2 linked regions of the Oryzias latipes genome follow. The protein of the gene in region 2 binds, or shares a complex with, the protein of the main gene of each other region. Links are inferred from orthologs where the notes say so. Each region holds a gene or a part of one and is shown on either strand. Other genes may lie near its edges.

Region 1 (4,601 bases), on a different chromosome or scaffold from region 2:
AGGATTGCTGCTGCAATTTCCATATGGTGAAAGTCCCTATATTTGTTTGAAACATGACTTTTTAATGTGTAGTTGTGGTTTTGCCATTTCTCTCCAACAGGGGTCTCGGTTATGTCATATATTGTAAGACCACAGCCCCAGACTAAAAAAAAAAATAGGATATGAAATCTCAATATGTTCAGGTCCTGTCTCAAATCAGAATTGGGGAGTAGGTTTATTTTTTATTATAAAAACAGAAAGAAAAACATTTTTTGAATAATTTATAAAGAATTTAGAAGACTGATATTATATTCAAAGTAAATAGAGTGTGCATCAGCAACCTCAAAGAGAGACTAAAGGACACAGTGGGGTTAAATGGTGTTTAGTCGGCTACCAATTGGTCAAGTTCTTCTACCTAAGAAGATGAGAGGCTGTCATTTTCATCATAGGTATACCTCAACTATGAGAAACAAAATTAGAAGAAAAAAAAAATCACATTTCTTGAGAATTTAATTGTAAATTATTGATTTTTTTCCTTCAATTTGTCTTTCATAGTTGAGGTATACCTATGATGAAAATGACAGGCTTCTCTCATCTTTTTAAGTGGGAGAGCTTGCACAATAGTAGCTGACTGAATACATTTTTGCCCCTACTGCAAATGTTTGCACTTTTTTAGAAGAATGTTAATATTTGCTTCATCTTTTGGTTGAGTGTGCAGACCTGCAGTCATCGGAACGATGTCCGCCCGCAGGAGGAAGCGCAGTCTTCCTGCTGCTTTGTTCCCAATCTTGATGTCCATGTAGACCTGTGGATTTACTCGGCTCTTTTTAGCCTGTGGCTCCCCCTGCAAAATCAGAAAAATGCATTTATCATATTTTTATTGCCTACACAAAGCCCTGCAAAAATGAATAAATAAATGAAAAATAGTCCTACAAATGTTTTTTTTTTTAACTTTATCTCTCAACCGTTATGGAAGTAATTTCTGCTCAAATGCTGTAAAGGATTTCTGATTCCCTTTGTTGTTCAAATGCGCCAAGACTTTCCAAATAAACCCACACACCCAGATAATTTACTCATTTAGTGCATTTAATAAGAAACCTGCTTCCTCCAGTGAATCAATTTTAATTCTAATTTTATTACTGTTATGCGAGTGATAAAGTTGGTTTCTCTAATTGGGAGAGTGGATCAATCAAACTAATCTAAATGAGGATTACTAAGAAAATGCAGATTTCTCTGGATTGTAAACACAAACCTGCTTTTTTGATGAGTCACGTTTTGATGTGTTTTTATATAAATTAGACAGATTTTCACTCCTGACATGACATTTCATCATTCACTGTACATTTTACACTCTTCATTTTTAGTCTTACACTGACGCAACAATATTTCACCAAAACCTGCTTTTCTCAGTGAAAAAATAAAATAAAGGCCCTCTAACGGGTCTGTACATTTAAATTTATTGAACTATACTCTAAAAATTAAGATTTAAAGAGAAAAAAAGATTGCTCATTTACTACATGTTTATGCAGTGACCTTATACCTTAAATATCTAGAATCTAATTCCCTGAATAAACTGAGTGTCCTGAAAACAAAACAAAAAGTTCTCACCTCCTGTGTTTTGCTGGGTGCCTCTCCTGCTGCTACCGCCTCAGCCTCGGCTTCCTCCAAGGTTTTCCCCGAAAACTTCTTCAGCCAGTCGTCATCCGACCACACTGAACACAAAAACAAGAGTTACAGGTCAAAACCACATCATAAAAAACAAAGCAGATTTTAAGAATCTTCTTCTATGATTACCTGGTCGAGAAGAACCCTCTTTGATTCTCATGGGCTTAGCGATGTTCACTCGGATAGTCCGTCCAAAAAGTTCAGACTCATTCTGGCAGCAAAAAAAAGCTACAATTTAAACCCAATCTTTTTAAAGAATAAGAAGAACTGTTAGTCACTTACCATGTTATCAATAGCTGCTGCTGCATCCTGAAGGAAAGACAGTGATGAGAAAGGGATGCATTCAAGAAAATAAAAGCTCACTTTTGTTAAAGATTCACCGATACAACTCTGGGTTATTTTCAAATTAATATGATCAAATCAAAGAGTTTGATTTGCACTTTAAAAAAAACAACAAATAAAAGTTTTTCTTGTTGGTTTGGTGAATCTATAACGTTTTTCAAGTGAATACCTTTTAAAAAATGAGTTTTCTGAATCCATCCTTTGTGCCATCAATAATTCAATTCAAAAGGAGAAAACTTTAAAAGCACAAACCTCTGCCAGCTCAAACTCAATGAACCCAAAGCCTCTGTGCTTTTCTAAAATGTAAGCACAAAAAATACTTAAATGATCAGGGTTTTTTTTTTGTTTTTTTGTTATATGATTATAAAATAAAACTTGATCTGACCTGTTTCATAATCCAGGGGTATCTGGATGTCTGTGATGTCTCCAAAGGGAATAAAGGCTGCGTGTAAAACCTTCTCATCCACCTCCTCCGCCAAACCACCTGGAGGAAGCAGCAGCGCAAACACTCAACACTCAATGCTTCATCTTCGTACTTTTGAATGAACACATCGTACATTAACCAGGATGTTAAAGTCGAAAACAGTGAGCTCTGTATGAGTTGGCTTAGCAGCATGTGATGGTTTCTATAAGACCGGAATACAACGTTGACTCGCCTTGGTTTTCCCCGCATAAATGGTAAAAAAAAGTTTTTATAGAAGGAATTAGCATAAAAGAGCTTTTAATTTCTGTTTTAGTTCAGAGTGGAGTGTAACTTGATCGGTCTGACATTCATAGTTAATTTAAAAAGTTATCATTACTTACCGACATACAGAACCCTTTTATTCGACGCCATATTGGATTCTAGATGTTGAACTTTAACCTCGGCCTCTGATTGGTGGAATCAAAAGGAAGCCCGCCTCTTCAACTATCCACAGCGCCCTCTATTGGTCATATTTAGGTCCAGCAACTGATCTATAGAGCCAATGACCGTCAATATGACTCTTTTCAAACACATTTGTGAAATGTGCCAGAGTTTTCAGATGAAAACAATCATATTTGTCGTTTTGGCTTTTTGTCTTTTTTGTTTTTTAAATGGAAATACCTAACTATGTTTTAAAAATAAAACAAAACAGCTCAGTGGTTTCAAATATAATATATACTTTATGTATCACAATAATTTTTGGACAGCTAAAATACACTAATGTTATGTAATTTTTGCTTTAGAGTTTTGTTGTTATAATGCTGCTAAATCCCTTTAAACTGTTTTTACTTTCAAATTATTTTTTATCTTATTGTTCCATAAATTTTCTGTATTTCTAAACTGATTTACTGTTGAGGGTTACCTGGCAGAGAAAGTGGGAAAAGGTTGAGAAGCACTGCTTTTAGTGACCCAGCAGTCCTCACCTTCTTCTTACGGAAACCCAACCATGTTTTAACTAAGGTTTTATACTTTTTATCTGAAACAAAACCCTAAGGGCACAATTTTACCCCACTCCCTTTGTAGCACTAGAGTTGTAAAGCACAATACATTGTGTTTCACTACAAACAATAACATTATAATTCACTGATGAAAGCTGTGTTTATGGCCGATTCAGAAGAACAGGTCAACAGCTAAAAAAGATCAACATTTTTAAATGTAAATTCTCACTTACAGAGAATTTTTGGTAGTTTGTTCCAAATGATACATCCAAACCATCCATTTCCCAAACCCATCGAATCTCGTTTGGTTTCACTCTGTTGCTGGAGCCTATCCCAGACACTGTTGGGCAAAAGGGGGGTGCACCCTGGACATGTCACCAGCCTGTCACAAGGCCACACACACTCACATTCACACCTAAGGGACAATTCAGAATTGAATCGGTTAGTTCAAAAGGGGCCCAAGTCCAAGAGGTTTTTTTTTCAGGAAATGATTTTAATTGCATAGCTTAAAGGGAGGCAACACCAAATGATTAATACTTTACCCAGATTTAGCACCAGCTCATAGCTTACAAATGCTATAATATGAAGCACCTCATTTTTATAATTTCAGAGGACTAGCAAACTAAAGTCTCTGGACTTGGGCACTTCTTGTATTAAACAGGGGCGTTGCCATATTGGATAACTAGTGCTGCCATCAATGGGATAAAACTAAACCCATACAATAGAGGCCCAAGTTCAGGAATTTTGCACTTAATGCATTTTAAATGTCAAGCATAGTCAATACATTACAACAGACTTGGGACTTTTTTGCACATAATCATATAGCTTTTCCCTTGAAGACCATAAAACATATAATATCTCTATTTTGAAAAATTGTGGACTTGGGCCCCTTTTGAACTAACCGATTGCCAAATCAATTGCCAACAAACCATGAAGCACATTTTTGGGCTATGGGAGGAAACTGAGAAAACCCAACCATGCACTGGGAGAACATGGAAACTCCACACAGAATAGTCACATCCAGAGTTGTCTTGAAGTGAGGCGAGTGCTAACCACTACACCACAGTGCAATTGGCACCTTCAAAACATTTAGATCATAGAGCAATGTGGAATGTCTGCCAGACTTAATTTCCTCTACTTGATTTTTTACTTCCAATAAATCATTTTGAGGTTTGTGTAAGTGATTTAAAGAAAAACATCTTGATTTTAAATCC
Region 2 (4,594 bases):
AGAATTTGGCAAAACACACCCAGAGCGAGTGTGGCTTTCCAGTGGCTTTCATTGGATCCACAGTTTGCACAGCCTCTGTAAAAGTGTTAATAATCTAGAAAGAAAGTAAACGAAAGAAAACACAAAAAATTTGTATTTGTATTGTATTAAATAATAGGGAGTTTCATCTGAGGCTTTTTTTTCCCCACTATACACATCTCAAAAGATTCCACATCAACCAAGACTAATTGCTAAAGATGGCAATTAGTAATGTATGTTTACTATTTGCCCACATTGTAGATATGTGATGAAAAGCACCAATAAAAAGTTAAACTATTATGGCATGAAATTGGCTAGAGGAGTACAGGAGCCCAAAATTCACCTGCCGTGGAGTCCCCTCATACAGTTTTACTCTCTTGTGCCACTCGTGGACATTATGGGGGTTCTGCCTTAGGAGCACACTGTTGAGCAAAAGTGGTCGACGAGCTATGAGTTGCTCAAAGCGAGCCAGTCTAAGCTCCAGGTCTACGTCATCTATGGATGGAAAGATAAGAAAGAAGGTAAATCTTAATTGGGTGAATGCAAGTACTGTTGAAAACATGAAATAATAACGACAAACCCTCTTCATCCTGCCCCATCTCAGAATTGGTCTCCATCTTAGCAGCAATCATGCTCTCCTCAAACTGAGCATAACTATCAAAAACCTGTGTAAAGTCTCTTACAGTGACCACTGTAAGGATGGCTTCCTCATACACATCTCGAGCCTTAAAAACAAAAAAAAATAAAAAGGATGTTACATTAACATCTTCCAGTGAATTTTGCATGAAATATTGGAGCTATTAGGAGAAACAAACTTTCTCAAAGTGGCCACTCCTGATGTAATAGTCAGCCAAAGAGCACCAAAGTTTCCCCAGCTGGTCTGTGAAGCGAGTGAGACCTCCTCGGATGATAGCTCCCACATTTAGGGAGGTCACCTTATCAGGATTCTGGGAGATCAGGTCGCAGAGCTCGTGCCACAGCTGAACAAAACATAAAAAGAAAGGTTTAAATAACATGTTCATATTCAAATTGAATGATTGCCCGATAAGTCAATATATCTAAAGCTTACCTGATAGTTGGATTTGCCCTCTTTGGACACAAAGTTCTCATCATTGACGATTGCAGCTAGCCGTACAGCTGCTTCGTCCAAGCGACCAACAGTTCGCAAATACCCTATGTATTCTTCCGCATTCTCTGGAGACAGCTAATCGTAAAAAAAAAAAAAGAAAACCCATTTTGAATTATTTAAGGAACTGTTAGTGTGCATTTCTAGTTTTGAAAAACTTTACATGAAAATCAAATCAAACTTTATTTAAAAAAAAAGTGCTTCTTATGCCTTGCACAACTCAAAGCGCTTTACATTAAAAAAAAAAAAAAAAAACATACACAATATTACAATAAAAACCCAACCCACCCTTCCCACTCCCCTCTGTTAACACATAACACACGACCCCACACAATGAAAACTTATTAATGCAACTTCTTAAAGAAACTTTACTGCATTTGTCTGAATCTAAGAAAATGTGTATTTTCTTTGTGAATTTCTTTCCAACCTTAAGGTATCTGCGGTATACTCGGACAGCCGTCTCAGGCACGGGAAGATTATGGACAAAGCGGAGATACAAGGGCCAGATTCGTGGATGTTGAGTTACAGGAAGGGCTCTGAGAGCGCGGTCGAAAGTCCGCCGACTTCTTGTGATTTTACACTGCAACACGAGGAACTGGCAGTAATCGAGCCATATTCTAGGCATCTATATTCAGGAAAAAAAGGATAGATTATTAACCTTTGAAAGCAATCATTTCATCTTTTTTATTATTAATTTAGCATGTATGGACCATTACCTTGTGCATGAACACCAGAGCCCTCTCATGACAATTGTTGGCTTCCTCATAGGCTGGTTCAGTGATGCATTTCCCTTTAACCTGTTTCCGCCTCTCTCTCAGGTAATTATACCACAACTTATAGCTGAAAACAGAGAAAAAGTTAAGGCTTAAACCTTAAACAAGATCCGCTTTGTATATTTTCAGTTTTAGATTAAAGTAAAATAACCTATTTGTTTAAGAAATGTCGCTTTTAAATTTTAAAAGCTATTCAACTTTTTTCATTTAAGAAACATATCACTAAAACTCCTAACAAGTCAGGACAAACACAAGAATATAACTGGTACTGAATATAATCAAATCCCTTTACATGCCCTAGTTAAAATTACTTTTACTTTGGCCATTCTAAACGTATTTTTTCAAGTCTAATGTTTTAAATAAAAAGCTATTCTTAATAATATAGATGATGATGGAAAGCAGTTACCTTCCAGGTAGTTCCTTCAAAGCCCGCTCATATATCATGTTAAGGTTAGTTTTAAGTCCATTTTGTTTGAATTCAATGTAACGCATCCAACACTTAACAGAGTACGGATTCCTGATGATCTCCTCTTCGTAAGGCAGGTCATCATCTTCCTGATAAAAGAAACACAGAAAACATAGTGGACTCTTTTTAAAATGTGTTTTTATTTTATTTATTTGGAATTATTAACCATTCTCTTTAGAGCTTAAACTAACACGAACAACTGGTTTTCGTTTAACTACGACCTTTGATATTAAAAACATCTATATAAAAATTTGAAAACCACAAAATTACAAGGGCATGGATGGTTAAAACCCTGCAAATAGAGTTAACCTAAACACTGTAGCAGTTAGCATAAATCTCGAAAAGCAACGCCGAGACGCAGTGTGGTTAGCTACACGGAAAGTTAGAGTTGGCCAGAAAACACTCTTAAAAACAAAAAGATAAAATGATATACACCATAGAGTAACTTACAAAAATAACATCAGCTTTTCCGTTTAATGATGGCATTTCTACCAAGAATAAATGGCTTTTCTGGATATTTGTGATGCTAACTTTGGTAGGCTAGCTAGAAGACGCGGTGCGTGCGTTAGCTTGCGTAACTTCCTGTTCCTGGTCAATGAGTGCGCAGGCGCAAGAAAAGACTACATGTCTGCTGTTTGTAGTTTATATATTTATTTATTTATTTATTTATTTTTGATTTGTGAATATGAAATTTCCTTTTTTTATTGAACAATTGCAACATACAGAACCACAAAATGAAAAATTAACAACAATTACACTTCTGAATACAGACTAAACGTGTTACATTCTTAGAAAGATTCTAAATATTAATAAAACACACAAAAAATAAAAAATTAAAACAAAAAAATAAAAATAAATATATGAAAAAATAGATAAAATAAAAAGAGAAAATGCGAGAGTAAACTTATGTTATCATTCCAAAAGATTTACAAATGTTAATTGTTTTGTGAGCTTTTGTATTTTTTGAAGCTGAAATCAAGTTTAAATATTGCTGCAGTTCCAGTTTGAACACAAATAAATCAGGTTTTTTATTAGAAAATTTGCTTTTGTGAAAGTGAAATTTATCCATAAATAATAACATGTTTATGCAAAAGAAAGCAACTCGATCTTTGAGATCAAAGCTATGAAAACCAAATAGTATGTTTTTATAATAAAGTTGTAAATCAGCCAAAATAGAGTCGGAGATAAACTTGTTAAAGTTTTTCCAAAATTTGTATGTGAATTCACAAGACCAGAATAAATGGGCGCAGGTTTCAGGTTGTTTCTGGCAGAAAGTACAGTTAGTGTTTATGTCAGCTTTAAATTTAGTTAAATATTGTTTTGCTGGATTAAATCTGTGTAGAAGTTTAAAAGAGATTTCTTTGACTTTATTTGTTAAGAAGTATTTTTTGTGGTAAAGACCAGACTTTTTTCCATTCAATTTTAGAAGTGAAATTAGCCCAATAAGAGGTAGCCGATGGAACAAAAAACTAAATTATCTTGGAACAAAGCACTGATTTTTGAGTTCAACTGTTTAGCAGAAGTGAAGCAGAAACGACCCAGAGGGGACTTGAGCACATCAGGAGGATGAAAAGTCAGAGAATGAGCGCTGTAGAAACCCTTGAATAATATGCAAAGCCCGGACGGGACGGCATCAAACACTACTGCAAATTCTTTGGGAGTCATTGGTATTTTATACTGCATTGTGAAATCTGAGTAGTTATATAATAATCCAGGTTCTTTGAATAATTGATTGAGGAAAATTATACCATTATTAAACCAGTTACTTAAAAACAGAGTTTTCCTATTATAGACAATATTACAGTTGTTCCAAATAATACAACTCTGTGGAGAAAAGTTGTGTTTGTAGATCAGAGCCCAGGCTAAGAGAACCTGTTGATGAAAATTTGACAGTTTCAATGGGATTTTTGGAATATTGTAGTTACAGCATAGCAGGAAATTTTGTATTTGTATCTGTTTGTAGTTTAGTTGAATATAATTTATACCTAAAATCCATAAGAGCAATCAATTCACCCAAAGCGATAACAGTATATAAAATACTGAGCGATGTTCCCAGTATCTTTGACAGTTTAGTTTAGTCATCCCCCTTTATTTTGTACCAATATCAAACTCTGAAGTTGTGTTTTTTTGTTTTCTTTATGATTTTATATATATATATATATATATATATATATATATATATATATATATATATATATATATATATATATA

Evidence for each region.
Region 1: xab2 (region 2) and ppie share a complex: the UniProt entries of both Homo sapiens proteins name them as parts of the XAB2 complex. The link is inferred for Oryzias latipes from reciprocal best matches to the Homo sapiens genes XAB2 and PPIE.

What each region holds. Positions count from the first base shown.
Region 1 is NC_019880.2:16,796,527-16,801,127, forward strand, and holds the start of ppie (peptidyl-prolyl cis-trans isomerase E), read right to left. Parts: upstream 2,892-4,601; 5' UTR 2,822-2,891; coding exon 2,791-2,821; intron 2,471-2,790; coding exon 2,372-2,470; intron 2,283-2,371; coding exon 2,239-2,282; intron 1,954-2,238; coding exon 1,927-1,953; intron 1,856-1,926; coding exon 1,774-1,855; intron 1,692-1,773; coding exon 1,588-1,691; intron 824-1,587; coding exon 700-823; intron 1-699. UniProt on the Homo sapiens protein: Involved in pre-mRNA splicing as component of the spliceosome. Combines RNA-binding and PPIase activities.
Region 2 is NC_019866.2:8,755,237-8,759,830, forward strand, and holds the start of xab2 (pre-mRNA-splicing factor SYF1), read right to left. Parts: upstream 2,977-4,594; 5' UTR 2,870-2,976; coding exon 2,834-2,869; intron 2,473-2,833; coding exon 2,324-2,472; intron 1,985-2,323; coding exon 1,861-1,984; intron 1,770-1,860; coding exon 1,572-1,769; intron 1,223-1,571; coding exon 1,088-1,222; intron 999-1,087; coding exon 834-998; intron 744-833; coding exon 599-743; intron 514-598; coding exon 362-513; intron 95-361; coding exon 1-94. UniProt on the Homo sapiens protein: Involved in pre-mRNA splicing as component of the spliceosome. Involved in transcription-coupled repair (TCR), transcription and pre-mRNA splicing.